Diceros bicornis minor: one gene and its partners. The main gene of each other region encodes a partner of the protein of the gene in region 2 in a complex. Links are inferred from orthologs where the notes say so. Each region holds a gene or a part of one and is shown on either strand. Other genes may lie near its edges. The genes, in order: EIF3D, EIF3J, EIF3B and EIF3F.

Evidence for each region.
Region 1: EIF3J (region 2) and EIF3D share a complex: the UniProt entries of both Homo sapiens proteins name them as parts of the eukaryotic translation initiation factor 3 (eIF-3) complex. The link is inferred for Diceros bicornis minor from reciprocal best matches to the Homo sapiens genes EIF3J and EIF3D.
Region 3: the proteins of EIF3J (region 2) and EIF3B are in contact, whole or in part, in an NMR structure (PDB 2KRB), measured with the Homo sapiens proteins. The link is inferred for Diceros bicornis minor from reciprocal best matches to the Homo sapiens genes EIF3J and EIF3B. Residues at the interface, in NP_003749.2 of Homo sapiens: Asp45, Glu46, Asp50, Asn51, Trp52, Asp53, Asp54, Asp55; in NP_001032360.1 of Homo sapiens: Lys202, Asn205, Val206, Ile207, Lys209, Ile210, Lys213, Asn249, Ala250, Asp251, Gly252, Tyr253, Lys254, Leu255, Phe261.
Region 4: EIF3J (region 2) and EIF3F share a complex: the UniProt entries of both Homo sapiens proteins name them as parts of the eukaryotic translation initiation factor 3 (eIF-3) complex. The link is inferred for Diceros bicornis minor from reciprocal best matches to the Homo sapiens genes EIF3J and EIF3F.

Annotation. Positions count from the first base shown.
Region 1 is NC_080764.1:13,075,176-13,082,447, forward strand, and holds the start of EIF3D (eukaryotic translation initiation factor 3 subunit D), read left to right. Parts: upstream 1-4,255; 5' UTR 4,256-4,364; intron 4,365-4,431; exon of another isoform or gene 4,432-4,453; intron 4,454-6,049; 5' UTR 6,050-6,137; intron 6,138-7,272. UniProt on the Homo sapiens protein: mRNA cap-binding component of the eukaryotic translation initiation factor 3 (eIF-3) complex, a complex required for several steps in the initiation of protein synthesis of a specialized repertoire of mRNAs.
Region 2 is NC_080744.1:41,734,684-41,742,426, forward strand, and holds the start of EIF3J (eukaryotic translation initiation factor 3 subunit J), read left to right. Parts: upstream 1-4,739; 5' UTR 4,740-5,034; coding exon 5,035-5,068; intron 5,069-5,154; coding exon 5,155-5,258; intron 5,259-7,743. UniProt on the Homo sapiens protein: Component of the eukaryotic translation initiation factor 3 (eIF-3) complex, which is required for several steps in the initiation of protein synthesis.
Region 3 is NC_080765.1:12,217,443-12,224,546, forward strand, and holds the start of EIF3B (eukaryotic translation initiation factor 3 subunit B), read right to left. Parts: upstream 3,009-7,104; 5' UTR 2,993-3,008; coding exon 2,518-2,992; intron 1-2,517.
Region 4 is NC_080746.1:66,883,389-66,891,328, forward strand, and holds the start of EIF3F (eukaryotic translation initiation factor 3 subunit F), read left to right. Parts: upstream 1-4,930; 5' UTR 4,931-4,945; coding exon 4,946-5,324; intron 5,325-7,940. UniProt on the Homo sapiens protein: Component of the eukaryotic translation initiation factor 3 (eIF-3) complex, which is required for several steps in the initiation of protein synthesis.

The DNA of each region.
Region 1 (7,272 bases), on a different chromosome or scaffold from region 2:
TGGAGCTGCCACTGAGATGCAGGATAGGAAGGGTCTGAGGAAATTAGAGAGCAGAGGCAAGAGACAGAGGAGGGAGGCCAGAAAGAGAACCTTCCAAATCTCAAGAAAGCCTCCTCCACCACCCTGTAAGGGTGGGAGGTTTTGAGGACACAAAGGTGCTCTCAGATCCTGGCTCGGCCACTTACTCCCTGGGCCCGGTACCCAACTCCCCTGAGCCTGCTTCTCCCCACCTGTGTTAATGGGAGGTCGATGCCTGTCTCCGAGAGCTCTTAGAAAGAATCAGAGAGATGATGATTTACGTAAAGCACTAGCACAGGGCCTGACATGTAGTAAGCACTCAATAAATGCTACTTCCCCTTTTTAAGGCATCGGAGCTTCCTATTAGAAAATGCGTTTGTCTTACTTGGAAGGGACAGGACAGGACAGAACAGCACAAAAGGCTGATGAGAAAAGAGCAGTAACGGTGCCTCTCTCCTCTAGACATGACATGAAGGGATGTACACGGAGGGCCTGGCGGGCACCTGTGGGTCCCCCTTTCTCAGCTTAGAAAATGCTTTGCAGTCACTCCCTCAGTTGGACGGGAAGCTTGTGAAGACAAGGATCTCACTCAATCATTACACCCACAGAGTCCTGCTGCAGAGGGTGGCCCTCAGTATGCAAGTTAAATAACGACCTCTGACAATGTTGATCCTTTTACTCATTGACTTCAACAGCAAAGGACTCTGTCACTTATGAACTGCTGTGCTGATGTTAGCCATTATTAGCAATAATGAAAAGTGAGTCATTTAATTGCCCAAAGACACTGTTTACGCTTCTCCAAACTGGAAAGATGCTGTGAAGTCTCCTTTTGAGAAAAGGGTACCTGCCCTCAAATGTACGCTTTTCTGGCATGAATGTTGAGTTTTTTATTTTACAGCCTCTAAAAGCAGTATCTGGAGGCCCCGGATTCACTAAGCGTTTCCTGGGTGCGCTCTGTGTGTCATGCACTGTGCTGGGCCACGGGGCTTCCTCCAGGAATAACGCAGCCCCGTGCTGGGGGAACCCAGGCAGGGGTAGGAGAGGTGGGGACACTGGTAACAGAAGCATAACAGAGGGCTCTGCCAAGTGTCGTGGACACACGGAGGAGAGAACTTGTCCTCAGAGGTCACTCATCCACCCAACAAACATCTTCCAAGCGCCCACTATGTGGTAAGCAGCACTCTAGGCGCTGGGGAACCAGCAGTGAACACGACATATAAGATCCCACCTCTCATGAGGCTTATGTTCTAACAAGGAGACAATAAATAAGTAAACAAGTCAACAGACAAGATTATTTTAGCAGAGGTAAACGTTAGTCATCTGGTGACACACTAACGGGATATGTGGAAGAAGAGGGAGCGAGGCGGCCTCCTGAGTCTGAACCCCCAGCTTCACCACACACTGTTGAACCCGGGGCACTTCCCCATGCCTCCATCTCCTCATCTGTAAAATGGGAAGAACAGCAGGCCCTGCCTCACGGGCTGTGGCGGGAACTGCAGGAGTTAACAGAAGTTCTTGGAATCGTATCAGGCACTCAGTGAGCAAGAGAGTGAATGAGGACAGCGCAAGGCCACTCAGAGGGGCGGTCAGGAAACGCCTGTTTGCTGAGCATGCAGGCTGGTGAAGATCTAGGGGACATGCATTCCAGGCACCAGAGAACAGCAGGCGAAAAGGTCTCAAGGCAGGAATGAGCCCGAGTATGACCCAGAAAGAGGAAGCTGCCATTCAGAAACTTGCAGACCACAGAACAGAGTATGGGCTTCTGTTCTCAGGATAAAGATAAGCCACTGAAAGGCTTCAAAGAGGGGAGGGAGGGAGGGAGTGCATGCTCTGATCTAATGTAAAGGACAGTCATTCCAGCTGCGCTTGGACAACGGACAGTGGGTTAGGCAGAAGGAGGCAGCAGGGGCGTCAGATGTGAGGAGGAAGGGAGGCGAGATCTCCACCCACACCCAGGGACCCACTACTGAGAACGAGACTGGACTCTCCAAACCCTTCTCCATCTGGGGTGGGCAGGGACGTCTGGGCCAAACCATGGGAAAGATGATTAAACTCTGACACGAGAGAGACTGCAGCAGATGGGCTGTGGGCCCACAGCAAAAAAACAAAGAAGAAGAAGAAAACAAAAGACATGATCCAAGCAATTCAGCAAAAATACATCTCTCTTTGCATTTTAGAACATATTACAATTTACTATTGATATTAATTATACTAACATTGAATATTTATGTACGTGCCAGGGTAATATGCTAAATTCATTTTCTCGTTTAATTCTCACAAAACCCCTACCCATTCATTCAACAATTCAACAAACATGTATTACCAGGCATTGTTCTAGGTAAGAGAGACAGAACCTCTATTCTTGTGGGGCTTACACTCTGCAAGAGAGAGACAGAGCCTAAACAAGGAAACAATATTTCAGAGTGATGAAAACTACAAAGAAAATGAAGCAAAGTAACAGGGTGCGGAAGGATGGAGGGAGGAGCAGCTGTTTTAGGAATGGTGGTCAGGGAAGATCTCTTGAGGGGATAACTCCTGAGCAGAGACACGGATCATGGGACCAAGCCAGGCATGGGTAAATCTGGGGAAGAGTGCACCACGAAGAAGACACAGCAAGTGCAGAGGGCCTGCTGAGACGGAAATGAGGCTGGTGTATTTGAGGCATAAAAAGAAGACCATGGTAGCTAGAGCAGAGTGAGTACAGAATGGCAGGATATAAAGTTGAAAGGTAGCCAGGGACCAGACAGCCCAAGGAAGACATTCACGTTTCACTCTAAGCACATAATGGGAAGCTGCTGCAAGCTTGTGAACAGATGGCCTTGACCACTATGTGGAGAAGGAACCCTAGAGGAACAAAAGTGCACACTGGGGGTCCAAGCACGAGGCTGGACATGGTGGGGGAAAGGGGTAGCATTCAAGATGTACTTTGAAAGTAGAATAAAGAGGACTTAGCGAAGGATTCAGTGTGGTGGAAAAGGGAAAAGGAACTACCAATGATGACTACAAGGTTTTGCACTGGGTACTGTTAACAAAAATTAGGAAAACTGGAAGATGAGCCGATTGGAAGAGAACGTGTGGAAACAGATGCTGCTATTAACATTTTCATTTTACAGATGAGGAAGCAGGTTTAGAGAGATGGAATAACCTGTGCAAGTTCACCCAACTGGTAAGTGGGATGACTAAGTATTCTCACGCACATTTATTTTTACCCTCACAGCACCCCCTTATTATTATCTCCAATTTACAGAAAAGGAAACTGAGGCTCAGAGATGTGAAGGTCACACAGCTGGAAAGCGGCAGAGCCGAGAGTACAGATCTGTCTAATAGCAGATATATTTCCCAATAAAGGAGCCTCGCTGGGATACTGACAAGGAAACTTAGGAGACCAGGCAGAAAAGGATCTGAGGTTTGAAGAAAATCACGCCCTCAGACTCTTCTTTCAACGTTTTGCAATTCCCCACTAAGACTCCAGGACAAACTCGAAGGTTCGGAGTTGCGGAAAGAACAACATTGTTGCCCACTGTAGAAAAGCGGTTCCTGAGTCGCCATTTCAGAATCACAGCTGTTAATTAAAATGCAGATTCCCGGGCTCCCGTTTAGACGTCTTGAAGCACAATCTATGGAGATGAGACTCGGAATCTGCATTTCCCAAATTAGCACTCCAGAAATCTTTGTCGTACAATAAAGTTTGAGAACTGTGGGAGTATGGTTTGAACCCTGGCAGCCACTTCCTAAACTAGCAGTCTGTACACGTAGGTCACTTCCCACCTCTGGGCCTCAGTTTCCTAAGCTGTCAGAGCAGGAGGAGGGAGGATAGCAACAAAATCTTCCCGAGACACTCGGCCGCCCCCTAGCGGTGAGGACCGAACCACACGATTGGGTGAAGAAGGCAAGAGCCCCGGGTCATTGTGGGATACAGAGGGGCCGGAGAGCCCCGTGAAGCATTGTGGGACACAGAGGGGCTGGCAGCCGCTCCCTGCCTCCAGCTTGGATTGCACGGCCGCCACGTTTCAACAATCCTGAACGCCCTCTCGGGGCGTCGCCGGATGCCCCGTGACGTAACTGTAAACACTCTTCTTGCGTCTTGGCGCCTCAGAGGCTAACGAGGACACCTCTCACAGAGCAGTGACGAATTTCCGGGTGCGTCTTCGCTTTACGACTCGTGTGTCCCGCCGTCGAACCCGGAGGAAGCTGGAGCGCAGTTTACGACAGCGCCGGTCGTGTTTACGGCGCCGGCCTCTGCGCGCGCACTTTTTCTCTTTTCCTGGTACATCGAGCTGTAGCCGGTGGCGAAGTCCCCGGCCCGAACCATCCCTCGCCATCTGGGCCGCCCGAGGCTGTTGCAGGTGAGCGGCGGGTTCTGTAAAGTTCCGCGGACCTCCAGGGCCGGCTTGGGCTGGGCCCGGCCTTCGGGGGCCCCCGGAAGAGACCTGCTGTACGTCCCCTTTTGCCAGTGCCTTCCCTCCGCTGGGCGGGGCAGGAATCCACTTTCGGGGGCCCCAAGCCCGGCGCGCAGCGGGATGCAGGGCACGGCCCTGGGGGTGAGGGCCCTGGCCCTAGGCTCCGCTTCTTGGCCACGGGCTGGGGGAATCTGATAATCTCATTTAAGCCCGCTGGCTCTCAGGGGCTTTTTAAAGTGGCCAAAGCGTTTCTGAGTTTCCGAGTGAGGTACTGGGGGTGCCAGGCTGAGCGATATTCGACCCTGCTCTGAGGAGTTCACTGTCCGAGGCTTCCTTCCCTTTTCTGTGAGATAGAAGGCTAGAAGGGAGTCGATTGATCTCCGATCTGAAACGCCCTCCCCCTAGGGATCGATGGTGTACGATCTGCAGTGGCCTTGACGATCTACACAATACGGTGGCCTGCTAGACCCAGGGCTCCTTCTCACTGCCCTGTCGGTGCCGCCCCATCCCGCCCCTGTAGCCGGTACAGCTGTCACTCCGATTTAACTGAACGGCTCCGTTTGTCCTGCTGGTTCCATTTCTCTCACTCTGTTTCCCATGTGCTGAAGCCAGGGGACTTACTCCCACTCCCTGGAGAAGTGCATGTCAAGCCTTGGGCCTCTTTCCTTCTTGAGCTGTGACAGAACAACTGAATGTTCAAAACAGCGTGTTTCGAGACTTCGTTGCTGTGTTATTAGGTGTGGTCTAGAACCCCAGGTATTTCAGGCTGCTGTCCAGCCATAATACGATGGGAAGAATGCTGGATTGATGGCAGACAACCCTGGAGATTAAATTACGTTTAAACGATGGGCAGATCAGCTGCTTGATTTGGCTGAGCTGCAAATTTTTGTCTCTAAAGTGGAGGTATGGGGGAGTTAGCGCTGTTAACACATCTAGTGTGGTGCCTGACACATAGCAGGAACTCAGTAAATACTTATTTAACGTGAACCGTTTTGAGATCACCACCCCTTCTCTCAGTCCTCTTCCTATAGTGTAACTTAGGTTCAGAGTGGGAGGATGATGCTCCCAGATTTGCTCCCTGTTGCTGTCACCCAAGTGTCACCTCTGTGGGAAGCCTTAGTCTCCCCATCATGGGACAATGAGGAGAGTTTACTAAGTTCAGTATACCTGAGCTCTTTGATGGCTCTCCAGCCTCCAGAAACATTCGTGTAATGAATTTTCCTCTGGGACCTCCCCTTCTGAGCATTTTCAGAGAGTTACGGTGGATGATAAATGCATAGGTTTTGCTAGGAACTGTCAGGCAAACATCTGTCTGGAGCCCCTGGTTTTTACTTTCCGGAGAGAAACTGTAGCATCATGCAGAGTGTGGACTCTGGGGCCAGATGGCTGGGTTCAAATTTTTCATCAGCTAGCACTTCAGTTCGACTTTGGGCAATTTCTTATCTTGTCTGTGCCTCAATTTTCTTATCTGGAAAGTAGGGATAATACTGGCCCCTGCCTCAGGATTGTTGGGAGGCTTTAATGAATTTATGCGTGGTGAGCACTAGGAACAATGCTTGGTACTCGTGGTATTTATGAACATTGGATGCATGGCCACTTTTGTGACCTAAGGTTTCTGGTGACCTCCTCAGCCTTCTGGCAGACCTTTTGCTTGGCTCTGTGTCCACGTGTTCTGCATAAGGATTTGCATTGATACAGAAAATTGGAAGAATAAGAAAAGTAAGTTGAATTTCAAGATAATATTTACAGATTCTATTTTTCTTAGCACTCTTGTGTGTAAATGTGTTTTTGCAAGTCTGAATAGTAATTGTGTGGCGTTTTACAGTGAAAGCATTTACCTGTGTGTTAACTAATAAGAGTTTCACAATGATTCTGTGATATATATAAAACAAGGATCGTATTTATTTTACAGATGAGGAGACTGAGGCTTAGGGAAGTTGGGTATTGTATGCCTTGGTGAAGGTGTTTCTGAGAACCAGAACGTGGTGATTACACTTGAAAAAAAGTTACTGCGTTTCATCAAATCTGTGAGGGCCGGCCCCATGGCTTAGCGGTTAAGTGCGTGCACTCCGCTGCTGGCGACCCGGGTTCGAATCCCGGGCGCGCACCGACGCACTGCTTCTCCAGCCATGCTGAGGCTGCGTCCCACATACAGCAACTAGAAGGATGTGCAACTATGACATACAACTATCTACTGGGGCTTTGGGGGAAAAAATAAATAAAAAAAAAAATTATAAAATCTGTGAGAGACCACCGAATTTAAGAATCACGTTATTTTATCTAACACTAAGAAAGAAACTGCCAGTTAAGATATGACACCCCATCAAACATAAGGTGCAGCCTCGTCTCAAAGATGTTACAGTGAAAAAAGTGGGTGTCATAGAGTTTATGAAATCTGGTAAGGCAGTTTTGTTTGCAGTCTTCTTCTTTTTTTTTTTTTTTTTTGAGGAAGATCGGCCCTGAGCTAACATCTGCCAATCCTCCTCTTTTTGCTGAGGAAGACTGGCCCTGGGCTAACATCCGTGCCCATCTTCCTCCACTTCATATGGGACGCCACCACAGCACCACAGCATTGTTTGCCAAGCGGTGCATTGGTGCGTGCCCGGGATCCAAACCGGCGAACCCCGGGCCACCATAGCAGAGCACGCGCACTTAACCACTTGTGCCACCAGGCTGGCCCCAGCAGTCTTCTAAATTTTAAGTATTCACAATATTATCTGCAAGAAAATATTGTTAGCGGTAGCACAACAGTTGAAGGCTCCATTTTGCGTGTTGCTTTTTGAGTTTTATCACTTATGTCTTCGCTTACCTCAAACAGAAACCCTTTTGTGCTTTAAGACCTTTCTTCATACAG
Region 2 (7,743 bases):
ATTGCATAACAATTCACCTCAAAACTTAAGAGGCTTAAGATGACATCTCTCACAGATCTGTGGGTTGAGTGGGCTCAGCTGGGCAACTCTTGGCTTGGGGTCTTCTGTGATTGCATCAAAAAAGTAGTTGGAGATGGAATCATTTGAAGGCTCAACTAGGCTGGATGTCCAAGATGGCTTCTTCACTCCTATATCTGTTATCTCTGCTGGGATAATCTGAAACAGCCAGCGGCTGGCTGAGTATTTCTCTCTCCCTAAACAGCCTCTCCATATAGTTAGCTTGAATCAGCATGATAGTAAGACTTCCTAAATGGTGGCTGACTTCCACCAGAGTGAGCATTCCAAAAGGTGCAGGTGGAAGCTGCAAGGCTTGTTGTGGCCTAGCTTTAGATGTCATTTCTGTCCTATTCTACTGGTCAAAAATGAATCACAAGGCTAGCCCAGACTCAAGGGGAAGAGACTACATAAGGAGTTGAGTACTGCTCACTAAAGGGCCATCTTTGGAGACCATCAGAGAATCTGGTGGTTCCACTGGGTTACTTACATCCCATCTAGGGGCAGATTCAGATTTTATATGGTTTGAAGCATATACAATTTGGAGGGCTTTCTTGAAGAATGGAAGGGGCCCATGCAATGAGGGTCCCTCAAGCTAAAGCTTCATTAGCTTCAGTTAATCTGCTTCTGACCCCCTTCCCAAATCAGCTATGGTAATGGAGCAAACATGACCCTAGGGAGTCCACCTACTCTTGTATACTAGGACAATTTTCAGAAAAGGAATTATTATTATTTTTAAATACCTTTGTTATGGACAATTTTTTTTTTTTGTGAGGAAGATCAGCCCTGAGCTAACATCCATGCCAATCCTCCTCTTTTTGCTGAGGAAGACCAGCCCTGAGCTAACATCTATTGCCAATCCTCCTCCTTTTTTTCCCTTTTTCTCCCCAAAGCCCCAGTGGATAGTTGTATGTCATAGTTGCACATCCTTCTAGTTGCTGTATGTAGGACGTGGCCTCAGCATGGCCGGAGAAGCGGTGCGTTGGTGTGCACCGAGGATCCGAACCCGGGCCGCCAGTAGTGGAGTGCATGCACTTAACCACTAAGCCACGGGGCAGGCCCCAGAAAAGGAATTATTGTGAGCTTTCCCCACCCCTCACCAGAAGTGCCCAATGTTCAGTTCAATATAATCTGATCATTTGAATCACAAGAACCCAGGTCTCTTGACTTCCAACAGTGAATTTTCAAATATACCATAATTCATAGTATTTTAAAATTTATATTTTTTACCAAAAAAAGTGGTAGAATTGGAAGGATACAAAATTTTTTTAAAAACTTACTATCCTTTCTATACCTTTTTCCTCTGGCTGCTGCTTAAATGTTATGTCCTTCAAGGTTTCTTCTCATTCTTTCCTATCTTCAGATGGCCTCTACTTCCACATGATTCCATCCACCACCATAATCAGATGACTCCAAATCTTCTATCTGGAGCCCAGATTTCTTCAGTTCCAAATGTGTCCTAGACATTTCCATTTGGATGTCCCATAGGAATATCAAGATCTGAGTGGCCAAAACTTAATTTATCCTTATTCCTTATTATGATGAGAGGCACCATTCAGTCATTTTCAGAAACATTTATTGAGCATTTACTACATGGCAGACACTGGGAGTACAGTAGTCAAGAACACAAGGTCCCTGTGCTTCAAACAGACATTAAATAAACAAGGTCATTAGAGATTGTGATAAATGCTATGACAAAAACAGAGTGACGAGATAGAGTCACTAGGGGAGGCCCCTTGCAGGAGGGAGATCAGGGAAGAAAGAGCTTTTTGCAAAGGTAACATATGAACTTTGATTTGAAGGAGGAAGAAAAGCCAACCATACAAAGAGGTGTGGAAGAGCACTGTAGGCAGAAAGAACAGCAAGTGCAAAGTCCAAAAATAGGGAAAGGCTTAGTAGGCCCTCTACCTGAGGGCCAGGAGCAACTGAGGTTAATGAAAGAGAATGGCATAAGGGGCTTGGTGGGAGGAGGCAGGAGTCAGGAGTCAGGAGTCAGACTATACAGGGCCTTGTAAGCTATAGTAAGGAGTTGGATTTTACCCTAAAAATAACAAGAAGCCACTAAAGGGATTTCAACTGAGAGAAAGGGGTGTGACGATCTGATTTACAATTTTTTTTTTTGGTGAGGGAGATGGGACCTGAGCTAACATCTATTGCCAGTCTTCCTCTTTTTGCTTGAGGAAGATTGTCCCTGAGCTAACATGTGTGCCAATCTTCTTCTATTTTTTGTATGTGGGATGCCGCCATAGCATGGCTTAATGAGCTGTGCATAGGTCCACACCTGGAATCCGAACCCATGAACCCCAGACCACCGAAGCAGAGCACGCAAACTTAACCACTACACCAGTGGGCTGGCCCCTGATTTACATTTTTAAATTAAAAAAACTGCCTGGTGCGTAGTGAATAGATTGTGGAGAGGGAAGAGTGGAAGCAGGAAAACCAATTGGGAGGTTATTATACTAGAACAGTCTAGAGAAAGCTTGGATTGAGGTGGTAGCAAGAGTCAGGGGGGTAATTAAATGAACTCAAGATTAATATTGGTAGTAATTCACAGAACTTGGTGATGGATTGAATTTAGGGGGTGAGAGAGAGGAAGAAAGCAAGGAAAGCTCACAGGTTTTTGACTTGAGCATCTATAGATGGGCGTCACCACCACTCACTCAATCTCCAAAGGCATTACCTTCTATGTACTTCTCCCTTCCCCTCCTCCTCCATATCCAGTCAATCACTGTAGCAGTCAGGGTTATCCAGAGAAAAAGAACCAATAGGATGTGTATATATACACAGAAAAAGGTTTATTTTAAGGAACTGGCTTGCAGGATTGCGGGAGCTGGCAAGTCCAAAATCTGCAGGGCAGGCCAGCAGGCTGGAGACCCAGGGGAGAGCTGATGCTGCAGAGTCCAAAGGCAGTCTGGTGGTAGAATTCCTTTTTCCTCATTATGTTTTCTTAAGGCCTTCAACTGATTAGATGAGACCTAGCCACATTAGGGAGGGTAATCTGCTTTACTCAAAGTCTACTGATTTAACTGTTAATCACATACAACAAATACATTCGCAGCAACAACTAGAATAGTGATTGACCAAAAACTGGGTAGATGGCCTAGCTAAGTTGGCACATAAAATTAACCATCATAGTCACTAAATTCTGTTGATTTTGACCCTTAAATATTTCTCAGATTTGTTCCTTCTTTCCTGTCGCCCTTGCCTTACTTTTAGGCTTGTATTCTTCTCATTTAATTCATAAAATATTTACTTATGTATTAGATACTGTGCCAAATACTGGAGATACACTGTGAATAAAAGATTGTGCCCTAAGGACCTTATATTCCAGTCTTTCCCTGCCTTCTGTCTTGCCTCCTTCCAATCCATCTTTCTAAATGGATGCCTGTATATCATTGCCTCTCACACTTTAATGCACAAAGTCTCATCTGAAGATCTTGTTAAAAGGCAGATTCTGATTCAGTAGGTCTGGGATGGGGCCTGAGATTCTGCATTTCTAACAAGCTCCCAAGGTGTTGCTGCTGATGGAGGGACAAACTTTAAGTAATTGGGCTGTAGAATCTCTCTTAAAAGCCCATCTTTACGAAATGTGTATTTGTAGACTCTCTGAAAAGATACACAAGAAATGGGGAACAATGGTTGCCACTAGAAAGAATAGAATAGCTGAACACTGTATACAGCTTTTTATAACTTGAATGTTGTACCAAGTATGTATTCGACAATAAAACATGTGAAACTGCTCTCCTCTTAAACCCTCTGCAGCAAAGACCAGTGGCCCAAAAGGCAGAGTGCAGCTTAGCCTATCTTAAGCCCTTTATTATGATCAGTTTACCTGCTCAGCTTATCTGCGATTGTCTCACTCAGTCAGGTGAGGGACCATATGCGTTCTTTCTATTGGAAGTGCACTTGAGCAAACTTCACTTGGTCTTTCAAACTCCAATTTCCGCAGCGCTTACCTCAAGAAGACTTTCATGCATCCCCGCTCCCCCCGCCGTTATTGTTACCTTTTTACATTAACCTCACAATGTTTCTTTTTGTTGCAGCCATCACACTGTGTCGAAACTTGTTTACACGTCTATCTATGTTACTTGATTATGCGCTCCTTGAAGACAAGGCTAGAGTTTATGCCTAGCGCAGACTGAGTTTCAAAATTATTCTACGAAATAATGAATCATGTACTGGCCTCATGAGGCTCACAGGACAGGAAAATCCTCGAGCACTGGGGCTCTCTTCGATCCCTTCGTGACTAACTCGACGCAAACGTGCCAGGAGCTGACTCCAAGCACCCTGGCTGGGAAGAGTGCCAGGAACGCGGCTCTCTCCACTCGCTCCTTCCCGGGCGCCCCGCGCACACCGGCTTCCCGAGGGATCCCTCCTCCCCCAGCGCGCGAGCGGGCCCTCGGGGGGTCAGCGAGGCCCGTCCACCGCCCCCAGAGGCGGCCGTGGCGTTCAGAGTCCGCTTCTCAGCGCGGCGTGAAGAGGCTGGGGGTCTCCACAAGCAGCCACAGGCGGCGATCAAAGTGACCAGAGGGAGGGCGCACCCGACCAGTCGGGGCGGGGCTGGGCTTGGTAGGGGAAGGATGGCGAGAACAGGCGAGGGCCAAGCGCCAGGCAAGGTACCGCCCTGCTAAGTTCCCCGCACTCACGTTTCCTCCCCGGGGCCCAGGCTAGGGTGGCGGTCTCCGGCCTCTTCATCTCTCCCCGCCCCACTATCCACCAGGACTGTTCCGCGTCGTGGGGTACCGGACGCTCGCCTCGCCAGCCCGCGCTACCCACGCCCCACTGACCGCATTCCACGCCCCCTTCCCGCCTGCGCGCGCGTCCCCGCCGCCACCAGAGGGGGCGGGGCCTGGGTCCCGGCGTAGTCAGCCACGGTCCCAGCCTGCCCCGCGCCAGCCAACGAGAGCAAATCCAGTGACTCACCTCCGCCGCGCTAACTCTTCTCGCTCACTCCTCACACACGCTCACGCCCGGCTCGAGATGGCGGCTGCGGCGGGGGACTCCGACTCCTGGGGTGAGCAAAAGTTCCGGGGGCAGGGCCCGGGCCGGCGCTGGCACCATGCCGAGACAGGGACTAACGCGGCTCGCTCTCTTCCGTAGACGCAGACACGTTCTCCGTGGAAGACCCGGTGCGGAAAGTGGGGGGCGGCGGCACCGCCGGCGGGGACCGCTGGGAAGGCGAGGACGAGGACGAGGACGTCAAGGTGGGTGCGGGCCGGGGCTCCGGGCAGCGCGGGAGCGGACTGGCGCCGTCGCGGGCGGGGTTGCCTGCCGACGGGCGGGCTGATGGACTCTGGGCCCAGGGGCGCCGCCCGGGCCTCCAGGCGCGATCGTAGGGCCTGGCGGTGCCCCCTTCCCCTCCGCTCGCCGGCCGTACGGACCGGAGACGGGCAGCGTTGCCTCGGACTTCCTTGGCGAGGGCGGCGGCCGGGCCCCAGCCCTTGTTTGAGGGTCCGCGCTCCGGCCTGGATTCCACCCCCCAACTGGCGACAGGAGATGACAGCAGCGTCTGGGCCGGTCCACGTGCAGACTTCGCGGCCCGGAGCCGCTCCCCGGGGTGAGACTGGGAAGTTGGGGATTGAGCCGCATGGCTCGTCCCATATGGAAAGTCTTGCAACCCACCTGCCTCTTCGAGCTCAGGTCTCCCCAGGGCCAGTAACTAATTTATGTCTCCGAAGGCCCATTTGTAGAATTTGTTCAAGCAGTTAGATGAGTGAAATATTGTTTAATTTCAATCTATTTTTCATAAAAGACAAATAAAAACAATAAAGTGAAATAAGTTTTAGCCTTCCTTCCCCGACCCTGTGGTAAAAGGATAAACTGAGTCCTGAGATAGCCCACAGTTAATGGTCAGAAACCTGAAAAATGGGGAGTTGACAGAGTGAGTTATTCGTCTAAACACGAGTGACGTCCAAAGAAATATTGAAGATTTAGTGGTTGGAGTGGACGAGGCAGGGCAGTGTTTATTTTTTCCTATTGCTTGTAGGTGTGAACCAGATACCTTCCTCGTTTGTGTTTTGAAAACTCTTGGGGGGCCTCCGCATATGGCTTCAGATGACATCGTGACTACTGCATTCCTTGTTTTTTTTTTTTCCCTTTGAAGTAGCTACAGAAGTCTCAAGCCCAGAATGTTAAGACTCTTATTGACAAAGTTCTCCAAGTCTTATACTGTATTTGTGTAGATAAAGTTTTGTATGGATTGGAAATGTTTTTTTTGTGGTTTTGATTCATTTGGTGAATGTTTTAATCTCCTAACTTCCACCCTTCAGCACATACTGAGAACCCTACAGTTCCTTCTGCTTGGGTTGAAAAAATTTATGCTAATCACTATGAACTTAATACTACCTTTGTTTGGATTTTACTGTTTTGTCTTGAGTCTGATGACGTGGATGTCCAGTTTATCAAACAGCCAGGTACAGGAATGAAGTGAGCTTTGCACCCTTTGGGGTTAATAAATGAGTAGTACTATTGTGAGGATACTTAGATGCTTTATTTACTTGTTGTGTAGACATGGGAATGGATTGTGTTGTCAGACTCATTACAAGATATGTCACCTTCCCACATTGTAGTGAATTTTCTGTTTTGAGCCTTTAGTTCAGATTTGTCCATTCACTTTTTCTGTGCATACTGGATGTAGCATTTAAGACATCTGTTATGAAAATTGGGAACAAGTTGGCAAATGAGAAGAAAAGATTAGAGAAATCAGGAAAGAAGTACCAGAAAATGAAGTTTGAATGGATCAGTCTAGACTGATCATGAAGTAGCCTGCCTGAGGTTATTGAATCTAAATGGTGTCAATCCTGATAAATATAATTCTGACCACTTGGAACTAATTTTGGAGATTTACAAGTTTTAAGGGACCATAAAGATCATCTTGTCCAGTCACCCTTTCAGTGCCGAGTTTCTTTTATACAAATAGCTTATTTCTTTTCTTCTTTTTTTTTTTGTGAGGAACATCAGCCCTGAGCTAACATCCATGCCAATCCTCCTCTTTTTGCTGAGGAAGACCAGCCCTGAGTTAACATCTGTTGCCAGTCCTCCTTTTTTCCCCTTTTTCTCCCCAAAGCCCCAGTAGATAGCTGTATGTCATAGTTGCACATCCTTCTAGTTGCTGTATGTAGGACGCCGCCTCAGCATGGCCTGACAAGCGGTGCATCGGTTCGCGCCAGGGATCCAAACCTGGAGCGCGCACACAGCTAAGCCACGGGGCCAGCCCCACTAATAGCTTCTTTCTTTTTTTGTTTTTTGGTGAGGAAGATCAGCCCTGAGCTAACATCCAATGCCAATCGTCCTCTTTTTTTGCTGAGGAAGACTGGCCCTGGGCTAACATCTGTGCTCATCTTCGACTTTATATGGGATGCTGCCTCAGCATGGCTTGACAAGCGGTGCGTTGGTGCGTGCCCGGGATCCGAACCTGCAAACCCTGGGCCGGGCTGTCGAAGCAGAGTGCGCACACTTAACTGCTATGCCACCGGGCCGGCCCCGGCTTATTTCTTTTACATAAACTTTGACGTCGATCTTGGAGAAGAAAGCTGAACTGTCTGTTTTATTTCCAAGTTGAAATGTTGGTTTCTTTCTTTTGAGTTTCTCCAAGATTCCCAAGATACGGTAGCTATGGAGTAGTTTGATTCCTGGACTTGGGAATCAGGCAGACCTGGGTTTATATTGTTGCCTTGACATTTTCTATAT
Region 3 (7,104 bases), on a different chromosome or scaffold from region 2:
TAAATAATGTTTAATGAGCCAAAACAGAAGACATTTAGTTAAAACTTTTATCATATATCAGTTTGACGGAGCACCAAAGGCAGTTGAAAAACTGAAAGGATGACTAATTGAGATGCAACTGCGCGACAGTGCTTGTTACTGTACACAGGGCACGATCTGCTCACTGAGAGACAAAAGCCAATCGTCAAGAGGCAAGATGGTGGCAGAGAAAGGGTAGTTTATAAGAGCTTGCTAGCAAGGGAAAAGATGGCTGACTAATGTCTCAAAGCACCATCTTACAGAACAAAGACTACAGGCCAGTTATAGAGAGGGCTGGTCTCCAGGTGTGGGAGGCATCTGGTCTCATGGTAGGGACATCCCTCTGATCTCTAGGCGGGGCATCTGGTCTCAGGGTGGGGGCATCCATCTGGTCTTAGTCCCTGGCAGTCTTTTGTTTTACTGGATATGCATCAGAGACTGGAGCAACGCCCTGTACCCTAATCTTTCAGCTGTCACTGATGATGGCTATCAGCAGAGTCTCTGCCCAGGGATCACCACATTTCTAAGGAACTCAAAAGAACAAAGTTATCAATTTATAGCAGCTGGGAGGGGCCATAAAATCCAGAGTTAGTCAGAGATCATTCAAAGTTACAATATGGCTTCCCTTATGTCAACCTCGTGTTGAGCTGGTATCAGTGCTGATCTGTCTCAAAGAATGAGGCAAGATGACTTTGTGGTGCTTATATTGCACCCACGAGAGGGCTTTTCAGGAGACTCAGTCCATTTTCAAAAGAACCCTTACTGCCTTCTGCAGTGCTCTCTGACCCCCTACTGGGCAATTCTCACCCCACAATTTGTACTTGAGCTACTGACCATAACCAAGTAGCCTCAAGAAAACTGACAGCTGGCCTGCTCAGTTTTAGTTCCTTAGGACCAGGAGCTTCACAGCTCACTCTGGTAAAAATATGAGGATCACAAAGGCTCCCAAAGGCCCTCCCAGCAGTCACCTAGCCTGGCTGGCCTATGCTCATTGCAGCATCCTCTGACTGCCACACACTCCAATTCTGGAAATAATTCACATGCTAGAAATCTTGTATGAATTAGATGTGCTCAAATAATGCTTTAAAAAAATCAATCACAGAGTAAATACTGAAGAGCTCAAAATAGGCTTTAACATCAAAACTTCGATTTTACAATACAATATAAATTGCTGCGGTAAAAAAGAATGCTGGTCTGGGCAGCAGGATGGGGAGGGGGTGTCCCAGCGACACCGCCTCCCTGTGAGTTCTCAGCAACCTACCTCGCCATAAGGAACACATTTCCTCTTGGCTGAGGGGCTTCCAGTCCGTGGCTCTCAAGTCTTCACTAGCTTGTGGAGCCTTTCCTGCTTTTCATGCTAAAATATCTTTTGTCTTACGAAATAATGTACGCTAACAGCGACAGTAACAGGTAGCTCTTTAAAATTATGTTTAAATTAAAAGTTGACAACTCTGTGTTGGTTCCCTAAGTTTTCTTTCTCATTTTACTTGAGATTCTTTATAATTCAGACTCAACTTCACTGTGATCAGACACAATATCTCAAAAACACATCTACATCTCGATATTGTAACATCTTATTTTCTTGGTGTATTACTGGCTATTTCATTGATGTTTTATTTATTTTTCCTATTTTACTACAACAGTCAATACACAAAGGAACCCACTGATGTGCTCCCAGCTTGCAGAATTCAAATAGCTAAAAAAAAAACATACACGAGTAAAAACAAATGAGATTAGCTATCACCAAAAGTCACTTTAGAAGACAGGCTTTCTCAGGCAGGAAGCAGAGGTACTGCCTATAAATTGAATCAATGTAGAAAGGAAGGCAAAGCAAGCTACAGTCGACAACACTAAACCCTGAGATCTGCCAACACAAGAATGGCGTCTGCCTACACTGAGGAAAAGGGATAACCAAACAGGTGGCTGGCAGAGTCGGCCTGGCACTGTCCTACTAAGAACTCTCTGGAAGAAAACGCTTCCGTGGGGCAGCGGCAAAGGAACCAGCTCTGCCATAACCTATTCTGAGGATAGCGTCCCATCTGCCCCTAAGAAGCCGGCACTAAGTCACTTTCAGACATTTGACAGGTGTGGCTGTCATTCGAGGCATCCAGGCCTGTTGAGGGAAAACTGTCACCCGAGACTGTGCAGCACTGGAGTGTCCTGTTTGCTCGACCCTAATAGCCACACCACTGCCCACACGGCCACAGCTCCTGCGTGCACGCCGTCCGCCGTCGCCACTCCCCGAATTCCCGGTTAGAGTGCAAATAACTGGCTCCCCAAGCAGTCTCCATCCTGTCCCCTCTTTTCTTTTTGGAGAGAAATGAAAGCACCCAGGCTGTCACAGGACACCTTTCCTACGTGAGGGACGACGAGTGGAGAATGGGGACCTCCATGCTGAGTTCCACGGGGCAAAGCCCCTGGTGGGCTCCAAGATGCGCGGTGACCCGTTCCGCGTTCGGGGCCTCGGGAAGCTCCGCGCAGACAGCCACACCGCCTCACCTTCCTCGCTCACGTCGTCCACAAAGTCCTCGGGGTCGCTGAAGGAAGGCTCGTCCGCGCCGGCGTCCTCCGCCGCCCCGCCCTGCTCCCCGCCCGCCCCCTCGGACCCGGCCTCGGCCGCCGCGTCCTGGGCCTGCTCCCCCGGCGCCTCGCCCGCGGCCGGGACGGGGGCGGGGGGCTCCTCGAGCGGCGCCGCAGACGACCCGAGAGCCGCGCCGGCCGCTTCCTCCCCGTCGGCTGCGGGCTCGGCTCGCACGTCAGGCCCCAGCCCAGTCTCAACCTCCGCCGCTGCGTCCTCGCCGCCCGCCGCCTCCTGCGCGCCGGCCCCCGCGGGCCGCGGCGAGTCCTCCCCCGGCGGCGGCTCGGAGGCCGGCTGCTGCTGCTGCTGCTGCTGCTGCTGCTGCTGCTGCTGCTGCCCGGGCTCGGCCCGCTGCTCGCCCGCCTCGGTCGCGGCCACGTTCTCCGCGTCCTGCATGGCCCGCCGCTACCACCTCACCTCGCCCCGCCGCGCCGCGCTTCCGACTCTCCCAGGTCGCACTGCGCGCCGACCGCGGGCCATGTGCGTGCGCGGGGCGTTCCATCAGACTCGGAGCGGGGGTGGGCCGCCCACGCCCTGACTCCTGACAGCGTGGCCAGAGGAACAAAAGGGCAGCATTGTGTCCACTGATGATTACGATAACGCTCGTGTGAGAAGCACGTGCGAAACTCCAATCACCAAAGCGCCTCTGGTGTAACTACAAACTCATGGGGAGCTCGAGCTCCCCCATTTGTGGGAGCGGGTGGTTCCGTCCAACATGGCAGCCAGGCACCTCCTTCTCCCGTCGGGCGCTGCGGCGAAGGACTTAACTATTGGTGACGCCGCAGGGAAGGAGCAGAAGGTATCTTGGTATACGGAACTGCAGGAAAATATGTAACTCAAAAAGTAATACTACAAGAAACTGTAAGTTCAACCAACTATTTTTATTGTGATATCTTTAGCCTCTCATCAGTTTAGCTTACATTACTAGGTCCCCCCTTCACGTGTCGGTGTTTAGACTCGTCCACTGAGTGGGCACATGGATGGACGCTTCCAAAACATAAAAGGAATTCTCGGCCGTTGAGCCGGAGATGGACAACACGACTAGGAAGACGATTGCCTGGCACGATACGAAAATGAATGAGAGCTGCTTTAATCACTTACGCCCAAGCCCACCGTGGCGGCTGTAATTCCACCTCTCCCCGTTCTCATGGTCGCCGTGGTTCGGCCCACGGAGGCCTCCGCTGGAGCGAGCGCGGGTCACGTGGGGGCGGGGCGGAGCCAGCCGCGGGGGCGGGGCCGGCGCTGGAGGGTGGGTTTCGCTCTGAAAAGGGTGTTCTGTGTTTGTAGCTCCTATTTTGGTGGCAGCCGGTGGTTGTGGTTCTGGGGGAGGGGAATGGGGAATTAGTGTTTAATGAGTGCAGAGTTTCAGTTTGGGAAGATGAACGAATTCTGGAGATGGATGGTGGAGATGGTGCACAACAGTGTGGATGTGCTTAATGCTGCTGCACTGCACACTGAAAAATGGCTAACATGGTAAGTTTAATGTCATGTATATTTTACCACAATTGAAAGAGAGAAAAAAAAAAAGAACTAGGGTTCTTAGGTTGCCTAATACTAGGTGTGAATCCTCCTCATCTTACTTTTCAGCCGTGTAACTTTGGGCAAGTCTCCTGGCATCTCTGCCTCAGTTATCCCATCTGTAAAATGAGGGGTAACTCATTTTGTGTGCGTGGCCTGTGGACCGCCTTCACCAAGGCAAACTGATTTCTCCTAGAAGTCAAAGTTATGCTCTTGATTTCTAGTTGTATCTGCAGTTTTCATAGATCATTGGGCTATGCTACCCCTTCTCTTCTAGAAGGTGCTAAAGGTGACAAATCAATGAACAAGAAGCAAATATTCACAGAAAAGCTGGAAAACAGGGGCTGGCCTGGTGGCATAGTAGTTAAGTTCGGGCGCTTCCCTGCGGCAGCCTGGGGTTTGCAGGTTCAGATCCTGAGTGCAGACCTGCACACTTCTCATGAAGCCCCATGCTGTGGCAGCGTCCCATATACAAAATAGAGGAAGATGGGCACAGATGTTAGAGCAGGGCCAATCTTCCTCACAAAAAAAAAAAAAGCTGGAAAATAGTTGACCTTCATTGGCCAGCTGCATGTTTCTTAGGAAAGACTTTTGTGGCATGCATGTGTTGCATAGAGTAGCCACTCATTACTATTTCCCAGTGAGGGGAAAATTGTATCCTTTAATGCAGGTGAAATTGTGTTGTGCTCATGATGCAAAAAAAAGAAACGTACATTTTCAAAATATATTTCATAGTGTTCTAGGGAGAGGACCAAGATCAGCAGTTCCGCTATCCTCAAATGCCTGAGAAGCACTGTAATTGATACTCAAATTATAAGTGCCTAAGTGGGAGGTGCTCTGCATTGGGGATACAGTGGTGAGTACAGCATGTATGATTGTTGCCGTCTTAGAATTGCAGTGTAGCAGGGGCAACATTCAGGAATCAAAGCATCACAGATGTGAGTGTAAAAGTGCATCTGTGATAGGTTCATAAATTCTTTGACACGCTTTCTTTCAAAAGGGGAAGCCAAACCCTGCTCCTCTGAAGTGTGGGTGGACTTAGTCACTGGCTTCTCATGAATAGCTTGTGGCAGAAGTGATGCTGTGTACCTTCCAAGTCCAGGTCCTAAAAATGATATGCTTGGGGCCGGCCCGGTGGCGCAAGCAGTTCGGTGCGCGTGCTCCGCTGCGGCGGCCCGGGGTTCGCCGGCTCGGATCCCAGGCGTGCACCGACGCACTGCTTGTTGAGCCATGCTGTGGCGGCATCCCATATAAAGTAGAGGAACATGGGCACAGATGTTAGCTCAGGGCCAGTCTTCCTCAGAAAAAAGAGGAGGATTGGCATCAGATGTTAGCTCAGGGCTGATCTTCCTCACAAAAAATAAAATAAAATAAAATAAAAAATAAAAATGATATGCTTGCTCCCGGTTCACTCTCTCTCGAATCACTGGGTCTGAAAGAAGCTGGCCACCTTGTCCTGAGGACACTCATGCAGTGTGTGGAGGCGCCCCAGTGTGGAGGAACTGAGCTCCCCAGACAGCATCAGCACCGAGCTGCCAGACATATGAAATGGAAATGGATCCTCCAGCCCCAGTCAAGCCTTCAGATGGAGGCAGTGCCAGCCCGTGTCTTGAGAGAGGCCTCAGGAGAAACCAAACCTGCCAACACCTTGATCTCAAACTCCCAGCCTCCAGAACTGTGAGAGAGAAATTTCTGTTGTTTAAGCTGCCCGGTCTGTGGTATTTTTTTTACAGCAGCCTGAGCTAACTAATAGCGTAAGTAAAATACATAGAAAAAGGCCTAGAAGGATACACGCTGAACTGAAAAAAGTGTTTGATGAAGGTAAGTAGTATTGGTAGTGTTGGTCAAAAAAAATGTTAATTATAGATTCTAGGTGGTAGATTTACTCTTCACTGTAAAATTCTCTCAACTTTTGTGTATGTTTGAAAATTTTTATAATAAATTGTTGAGGGGGAAGGACTCAGGAGCCAGCTTTAAGAGGCCCCCCACTGCAACAATTTGAGCCTCAAAAAGAATAAAAAACTGCATATGATTGACATAAATAAAGTATGTTTAAATCCATTAGTTCATAATGCTGTTAAAAAAAAAACATTCATCACTGGTGACTCTTGCTGGGACATTATCTCATTGTTGTAAAGACAAAAGACTCTAGCAAAAAATAAGTAATCTTGCCTCTCTTATTTTACCTTATATTTTAAGGTAACCAAATAGTTGATTAGGGATTGTCCTTCTTTATTGAAGAATTCTAGCTAATACATGCAGAAGGATCAATAAAATTGGAGAGGCAGCATTCTGCAACCCTTGTGAAATAAAGATCTAAGCAATGGTCCTGCAACCGGTGGATGAGAGGTTGATAGGGAACCGTGTGATGGAGGGAGCAGAATGACACCACCTGAGATTAAGGCTGTAAATTTCCCTCTACATGCTACTTTAGTTACATCCCACAAATTATAATACGTTGTATTTTCTGTTGCAAGTGTTTTCTAACTTCCATTATGATTTTTTCTCAGACCCATGGATTATTTAGAAATGTGTTATTAATTTCCAGATGTTTGAGGATTTTCCAGACATGTTTCCAAAATTGCTTTCTAGTTGAAGTCTGTTGTGACTGAAACATACCTTTGTATGATTTCAATCCTTTTTAAAATGTATTGAGATTTGTTTCATGGCTAAGAGTGTGATCTACCTGGGTGCACGTTCCTTGTACACTTGACAAATGTGCTGCTGCTGTTGGGTGAAGTGTTCAATAAATGTCACTTGGGTCAAGTGGATTGAGAGCTTTGTTCAAGTCTTCTGAAACCTTACTGATTTTCTGTCCACTTGTTCTGTCAGTTGGCTGAGAGAGCAATGTTGGAATCGCCGGTTCTGATGATGGATTTGTGTATTTCTACTTTCAGTTTTATCACTTTTTTCATGTTCTTTGAAGTTCTATAACAGGTGCATACACATTTAGGGTTGCTTTGTCTTTTTGATGAATCGGCTGCCTTAGC
Region 4 (7,940 bases), on a different chromosome or scaffold from region 2:
CTTCATTTTTTCTACATTTTTCTTTAGAAAATCTTTATTATTTTCTTTAAGCTGTCTTTTGAAAAACCAATCCTAGTTTTAGTGTAGCCAACTTTGTCAGTGCTGTCTTTTACAGTTAGGGCTTTTGGGGTTTTATTTAAGAAATACTTTCTATTTGAATGTCAGAGAGATAGACATCTACCTCTGTATATTTTAATGTGTTTAAGGTATTGTTCTAACCTCTTAGTCTAGCAGGAATTTTTTAATTCTATTTTTTGAATTGTCCTTCCTTTCCCCATTAATCTGCCATGATACTTTTTTATATATCAAAGTGTCATAAATGCCTAGTACAGTTTCTGGCTCTTTTTTATTGTTGTTCCATTTCATCTATTCTGCACCAATACAATGATTTACTAATTACTATATCTCCAGTTTTAAAAGGTCTTGAAATCTGGTAGAGCAGGTCCAATATTATGTTTTAATTACTACAGTTTTAGGATATGTCTCAATGTTTGATAGCACAGGATCTCCCTCCCATTCTGCCATCTTTTTCATGAAAACCGTGTTGGCTATTCTCGGCCCTTTGCTTTTTCCTATACGTTTTAGAACACGTTTGTAAAATTTGACGGATTTAGATTGCATTGACTCTAAAGGTTTATTAGAGGTGAATTGACGTCTTGGTGATATTAAGTTTTCCTATTTGTGATCATGGATTATAATTTATTTAGGTCTTATTTAATGCATTTCTGTAAAGTTTTATAATTTTCTATGTATGGGTCTTGCACATATTTTGTTGTTTATATTTTTGTTGCTTTTGTAAATGGTGTACTTATAATGACATTTTCTAATTTTTTATTGTTGATGCATAGAAGAGCAATAGCTTGTTCATCTGTCAGATCTATCCACCTATTGTTTTAATAATTTATCTATGAATTGAATTCTTTTGGGTTTTCTATGCAGGTAACCATTATTTGCAGAAAATGGCTTTTACTTTCTCATTCCTAATCCTTATGCCTTTGATTGTTTTCCTTTTTCGGACTGTGCTGGCTGGGACTCTGGTTAAATGTTGAATTAAAGTGGTGATAGCAGCCATGCTTGTCTTGTTCCTGATTTTAAAGGGAATACCTCTTCTAATGTTCTTAGGTGCTGGCGACGAGCAGAGACAAACTGTGGGAGGCAGCCCACCAGCCTGCCTGTGCCAGGCCCGGTCTGCAGAAGGACGGGGCCATGGTTCCTGCACAGCTCTGCCCCATCAGGGAAGGCTGAGTTAAGTCTCAAGTTCCAGTTGCTACAGAGTCAAGAGAGCCTGGGGCTCCCCCTTGTGGTCCTCCTATAGTTGCAGCTGTAGCTGGGGCTCCCTTCACTCCAACCATCGTTGAGGAGGTGGGATGGGTTTATCAAGCTGCAGGCCCCATCTTTAACATGAGCCTACAGTTATGACCCTGGTCTTTTCAGGCAGGACTATCAAGCTTGTTCCCCAGGACAGTCAGAAACCCAGATGTGACGGTGAATTTTATGTGTCAACTTGACAGGGGTGCAGGGTCCCCAGATATTTGGTCAAACAGTATTCTGAGTGTGTCTATGAGGGTGCTTTTGGATGAGTTTAACATTTAAATTGATAGACTGAGTAAAGCAGATTGCTCTCCCTAATACGGGTGGGCCTCATCCAATCAATTGAAGGCCTGAAGAGAACAAAAGGGCTGACCCTCCCTTGAATAAGAGGGAACTCCTCCTGCCTGATTGCTTGAACAGGACACCGGTCTTTTCTAGCCTTCAGACTCAAACTGAAACATCAGCTCTCCCTGGGTCTTGAGCCTGCCTCTAGTCCGTCAGACTAGAACTATATATTGGCTCTCCTGGGTCTCCAGCTTGCTGACTAAAGATCTTGGGACTTCTCAGCCTCCATAATCATGTGAGCCAATTCCTTATTTATTTATATATATATATATATATATATATTTATCCTGTCAGTTCCTCTGCAGAACTCTGACCAATACACCATGTACACAACACATTTTCCAAATACAAGGGGACAGCCCATTTTCTCTCTCCCCATGCCTTCTGCCCTTTCCTGATGAATCTGGGCCCCAGAGTTTCATTTATAGGGTTCAGCCTGCCTGGATCCCTCAGTCAGCCATTGAAAAGCGAACATCCTGGATGTATGCACTCCCTTGTCCTGGCCAGTCAGCATGCCTAGGAAGACCATGCCAAAGATCTCTCTCCTCCTGCCCCTGAGCAATGTGGCTGGAGAAACATACAAGAGCTGACCAGATCCTTGAGGTCTCCAGGCTCAGCTGGGCCCTCTCATAATTGATCAATGCCTTTGATGGCTCACTCTTGGCCCCTCTTCCAAATGCTGTCCATTGTCCCAAAGCTGAACCCCACCCTTGCATTGCCATTCTCAGCAGATCACTCTGCCTCCACCTCCCTGAGAAAAATATCAATTGACAAGAGCTCCTGCAACTTCCCTTCTCTCCCCAATTCAAAGTGTCTCCGATTCTTCATCCATCCCTTTCTCCTTTCCTCCCAGAGAGAAAGGTCTTTAGGCCATCTATATAAAGGCAAAGTTCTTGGTGGTGAAGTGTCCACATCCAACTCAAATCAACACATGGATAGGCATTCCAAGGGTGTGTATGGTCAGTTTGGGATGGCAACACCTATTCCTAAGGGGTGATTCTCTCCTCTGGCCTTCTTTCCATAGGATGATCTCACGGGACCAGCCCTGGCTAAAGGAGACCCCCACTAGGAACCCACAAGGGAGGCCACAGCCCAGGGCAGCCTCTGCAGCATATCCTCCATCCTGTGCAAGACCATCCCTCTCATCTAGGCTTCTCCATTCAGGTCCTCCTTCCTGCCTTGTTTCATTAGACAGTTTCCCTAGCTCACACTTGTATATTCAATCTTTCTCTCTCCTCTAGATCCTTACCCTTAGCTTAAAATATACTAAAAACTCTCCCAGCCACAACTGTCCCCCTCTCAATCTTGCCGTTCCCCCAGCTACTGCCTTAAATGTCTCCTTTCCTTCCCAGGCAACTTCCTTGAGAGAGTAGCCAGCACTCACTGCCATCATTTCAAGCTGGCCATTCTCTCACACCTGAATTCTGGTTTCCGTGTCCACTCCACCCTCAATTCCACTGACACTGCTCTACTAGTGCTGGTAAAAATCCAGGTCATCAAATCCAAGAGTCATTATTCAATCCTCCTCTGATAGGCGGTTCACTTGTGTTTGGGGGAATTAAAAGAGAGAATGTCTACCCAGTGCACTAACAGGGGAACAGTATCATGTGAATTCTGATTATGGAAGGGAGCTCCAAGGAGAAAGCAGTTCTTGGACATAAGAGTCAAGGCTAAGAAGTTCAACCTCACCACCGACCTGGCCAGCTGGATGCTGGGATTTGACCTAAGTAAGGGAGTTGACAGGTTTCCTGACAGGCAAATGTTAACATCCCCATTATACCAAGAAGGAAGCTGAGGCTCAGAAAAAAATTATCAATTGCCCAAAATTACACAAGGAGTGAGGCTCAGAGCTCCTTCTATCACATCGTACTAATAATAGCTACCACTTAACAATAACAAATGCTGTATATCAGGCATATGCTAAGAGCTTTACAGAGCATTACTCAGTTAATCGTCTCCCAAAGTACAGACTAGAATCTCTACCTGACCACTCTACAGTTCTGTTTGGATGTCTAATGAGATGCCCGATCTCAAGGGTGACACATCCAACAATGAACTTGGGATCTTTTCCCAAAAACCTGCTCCACTTGTAGCTTTCACTATCTCAACTGATGGCAACTTCTTGATACTAGTTGCTCAGCACAAAACACTGGAGTCATTCTTGACTCCTCTTTTTCACACCTCGCATACAACTTCTCAGAAAATCCTGTTGTCTCTACCCTCAAAGTATGGCCGTAATCTGCCCACTTCTCACCACTTCCACTGCCGCTGGCCTGGTCCCAACCACCATCACCTCTCACTTAGGCTTCCTGGGAATCTCCATGCATGTCTCCCTGCTCTTTCTCTCTCACCTCCCTCTCTCCAATAACCGCCCCTCCATTCTATTCTTCTCTAAGCAGTCAGAGTGATCCTTTTAAAACTAAGATCAGGATTCTCCCCTGCTCACAACCCTGCAGTGGCTCCCCATCTCACTCAGACTAAAAGCCAAAGTCCTTACTGTGGCCTAGGAGGTCTTTAATGATCTGCTCCCTGACCCCTATGTAGAGGTCCATCTCTTGCTGCTCCGGGCCTTGCTCCTAACACTCCAGCCACCCCATAGCCTCCTCAAGCACACCAGGCCTGCTCCTTAGCTGTGCCCTCTACCTGGAGGCTCTCCCCGTCCCCCAACAATGGCCGCCTCCTTCGCCTCCTTCAAGTCCACTCATATTCTCTGCTACTTTTTCCTTTTTCACAGCACTTATCACCTTCTAACTTATTATATAATGTACTCATTTGTCTCTCCCCGTTAGAATGTAAACTCTTCTGGGGCAACGATATTTGTTTTATTAGCAGATATATCCCGAACGCCTAAAAGAGCGTCTGGCACAGATTCAAATTGTTGAATGAATAAACCACCATACTGACACCTTATGACGCTGTCAAGAACAAAGTCCTTTAAAAGGCATTTTGACATCCACTATTTTCCCACTGAAATCTGAGAACAGGAATTGCGACCCTTGCGCTGCTCTCCGGCTCCGTGGGGCGGCGGCAGCACAGACAGAATTGTTTCTCTTCTCCAACCGCGGGCCCAAGTTTACTCGGAACTATTTAGCTTGTTTCTCACTGAGTGCCTATCGGACCAAAGTCAAAGAGCACAAACTAAGAGCAGGAAATTGTAGTGCCGTGAGAAGCATCATCAGTAACCAATAGGCACAAAGATCTAGTTCACGTGGTGCGTTTTCAGCCTATCGTGTGCCTAATATTCCCTAACTCGCTCCCTTCCGCTCCCGGCTCTTTCTCTCTCGACAAGATGGCCACACCGACAGTACCGGCGAGTGCTTCTCCCGCCACTCAAGCCCCTTCCCCAGCTGCGGCCCCAGCCCCGGCGTCAGCCCCAGCCCCAGCCTCCCCCTCAGCTCCGGCTGCGCCGCCGGCTCCAGCTCCATCGCCGGCTCCAGCCTCATCCTCAGACCCGGCGGCGGCGGCTGGGACCGCGGCCCCGGGACAGACCCCGGCCTCAGCGCCAGCCCCCGCGCAGACGCCGGCGCAGTCGCTGCCCGGGCCTGCGCTCCCAGGCCCCTTCCCCGGCGGCCGCGTGGTCCGGCTGCACCCCGTCATTTTGGCCTCCATCGTGGACAGCTACGAGCGACGCAACGAGGGCGCTGCCCGAGTCATCGGGACCCTGCTGGGTGAGTGGTCAGGGTAATCGACGTTCTCTTCTATCTCCCACGGCCTTTTGTCTTGCTCACCTCTCTTCCCATTCCTACTGACCTCTTACTGTTTCTCTATCTCACCTTCCTGCTGCGACTTAACTCCCCAAGGAACTTGAACTTTCCTGCCCGATTGCTGTCACTTTGGGCGACATAAAATACGTAAAGAGTAGTTGGTTATTGAATAAATATCTATAAGTGTGCCGAGTGACGTAGGTTTTATTTTTGATCTTCACGACAGCATTTCACGTCAGTTGTAATTAGTGCCAGTTCACCGCGAATGAGTTCAGGCGCAGACTAGGAAGTCAAAACCTCTGGCTCCCTAAGCCCAGAGACCACGTTTTCCCCCCTTATCTAGTGACTAAATGTCTTTATTTTCCAGTTGTTTACAAAGAAGTTTCTAACCGGTTGGCAAAGGAGTGGGGCATCTGTAAAAAGATAACCCTCTCAACAAGTAAATTTGTTTGGCAGGATCCCATTTAGGATTTCAGTAGTATTCTGCTTTCCTAAACATCTTAGCCTGATCCTCTGTTCCTTACTAGTTCCTAATGCCGGAGACCCTGTTTCCCCAGTCCGTCTCTAATTCTCTGTTTGGACACAAACGATTGTATTATCTGTTTATGATATTGTTTAACCTTCAGATGGAAGAATAACTTTTTCCCTGTCGAAGTTCCAAATTTGGAGTATACATATCTTAAAGTAATTTGTAAAACTGAGAAGCGCTGAAACGGAATTACTGATATATCTCTTTCTTTGGGGACTGCTGATCTCATCAAATTCATTTTCACTCCATCTTAGTTACAGATTTTAAACACCTTTGTGAATCCACTCCACTCCCATGCATTATTTCTCTTTCTAACTCTTGAACGTGTACTAGTCCTTCCAGCTTAGAAGAAAATTGATGTTTTGCAAAAAGGACCAAATTGGTAGGCAGCCTCCACCACATATTAGCCACGTGCCTTGGGACAGATTACCTAAAGTCTAGTTCCTTCAGGGGCTACTTTAGACTTAGTTCTCACAAAGACTAAGTTATTACAGAAAGCATCTAACTGTGCTGGCACACATTAAGTGTAAAACCGCCGTTGGTTGCCGTCCTCCACATCAGGCCTATACCAGCCCTAACACATGCATACATTCTTCCTCTCTTTATCTTTGAGGGTGTAGCATTTTCCAGAAACTTCAAATGATCCATTATCTTCCAAACATTGCCACGGTTTCTCTCACACCAAGCCTCTGTATTCTCTTTGCCACAAGTGCCTTGCCTGCTCACCCTCATTTGTTTAAGTTCCACTCATCTTCCAGGTTCCCAGGATGAGTGTTCAGTATCAGTCCTCCATCCCAGACCCCTGCCCCAACCCCCATTCTTGGTTATTTTTGGTTTTCTTTTTTGTAAGGCAGATCAGCCCTGAGCTAACATCCGATGCCCATCCTCCTCTTTTTGCTGAGGAAGACTGGCCCTGGGCTAACATCCGTGCCCATCTTCCTCTACTTTATATGGGACGCCACCACAGCATGGCTTGACAAGCGGTGCGTCAGTCCACACCCAGGATCCAAACCTGCGAACCCTGGGCCGCTGAAGCGGAGCACGCACGCTTAACCGCTACACCACTGGGCTGGCCCCCACCTCACCCCCATTCTTAACCTCTGTGACTGCCCTGCTTTGAGCTTCTGTAACAGATGATTTTTGCATCACTGGCTTGGCACTAGACAAATACTAATTTAGTCTTTCAGCTGTACCCTCAAAGTTTCCAGACTCACTGGAGCTGATTAAAGAAACAGTTCTCCAACCGAGGTTTGTGCTGTGTGCCCCAAATATGCCAGTGACCCTAGTTAGACCAACTGTGATCTAGATGTTTAGATCCTCTTCCAGATTGGGATCACGGTACAGTGCTTGGTGTTATTGAGGCAGTACTTACTGAAGAATGAAGCATAGATTCTGCTTACCAGGAACTTAACGAAAGCAAAGGAACGCTTACAAAGCATTCCTAGATTTGCTTGCTAAGAACTTAAATTTTCTCAGTTAGACATTAATTCATAAAACATATTTCATTTGGTTAATTGAAGTCACTGATACCTTTTATGTACCATAAAACTGTTAGGTACTTAGAATTCAAAGTTTGATAAAACAAACTCTAACCTTAAACTCAAGATGAAGATATACTCATATGCAGCTAATTAGAACATAATGTGATAAATGCTGTAACAGAGGAGTGTCATAGTGGCATGGAAACTCAGAAGACTTAACTTTTTCAGGAGCTTGAAGTGCTCAAGTCTGTTGAATGCTGATGAGAGGTCAAAGAATGTGAATCCATTGGGTTTGGGGACATAGTTTCAGCTAAGCGGGCAAAAACCATAGTGAAGTGGAATTAAGCAGACACTGACAGTTATAGGCAACACTGTGGTCTGTGGTGGAGAGGGAAGCACTTGAAGCCTGGCGTGGGAGGTGCCAGTAGATTAGGAAAAAATGGAGAGGTCGAGGGACTAGTGGTCTTAGTGAGGTCAAGAAACAGATGTAGTGGGAGTAAAGGTATCAGAGCTGGAAGAACAGAAGGTTGTGGTAAGAGACTGACATTGATGTTTAAGGTTCACAGGTAG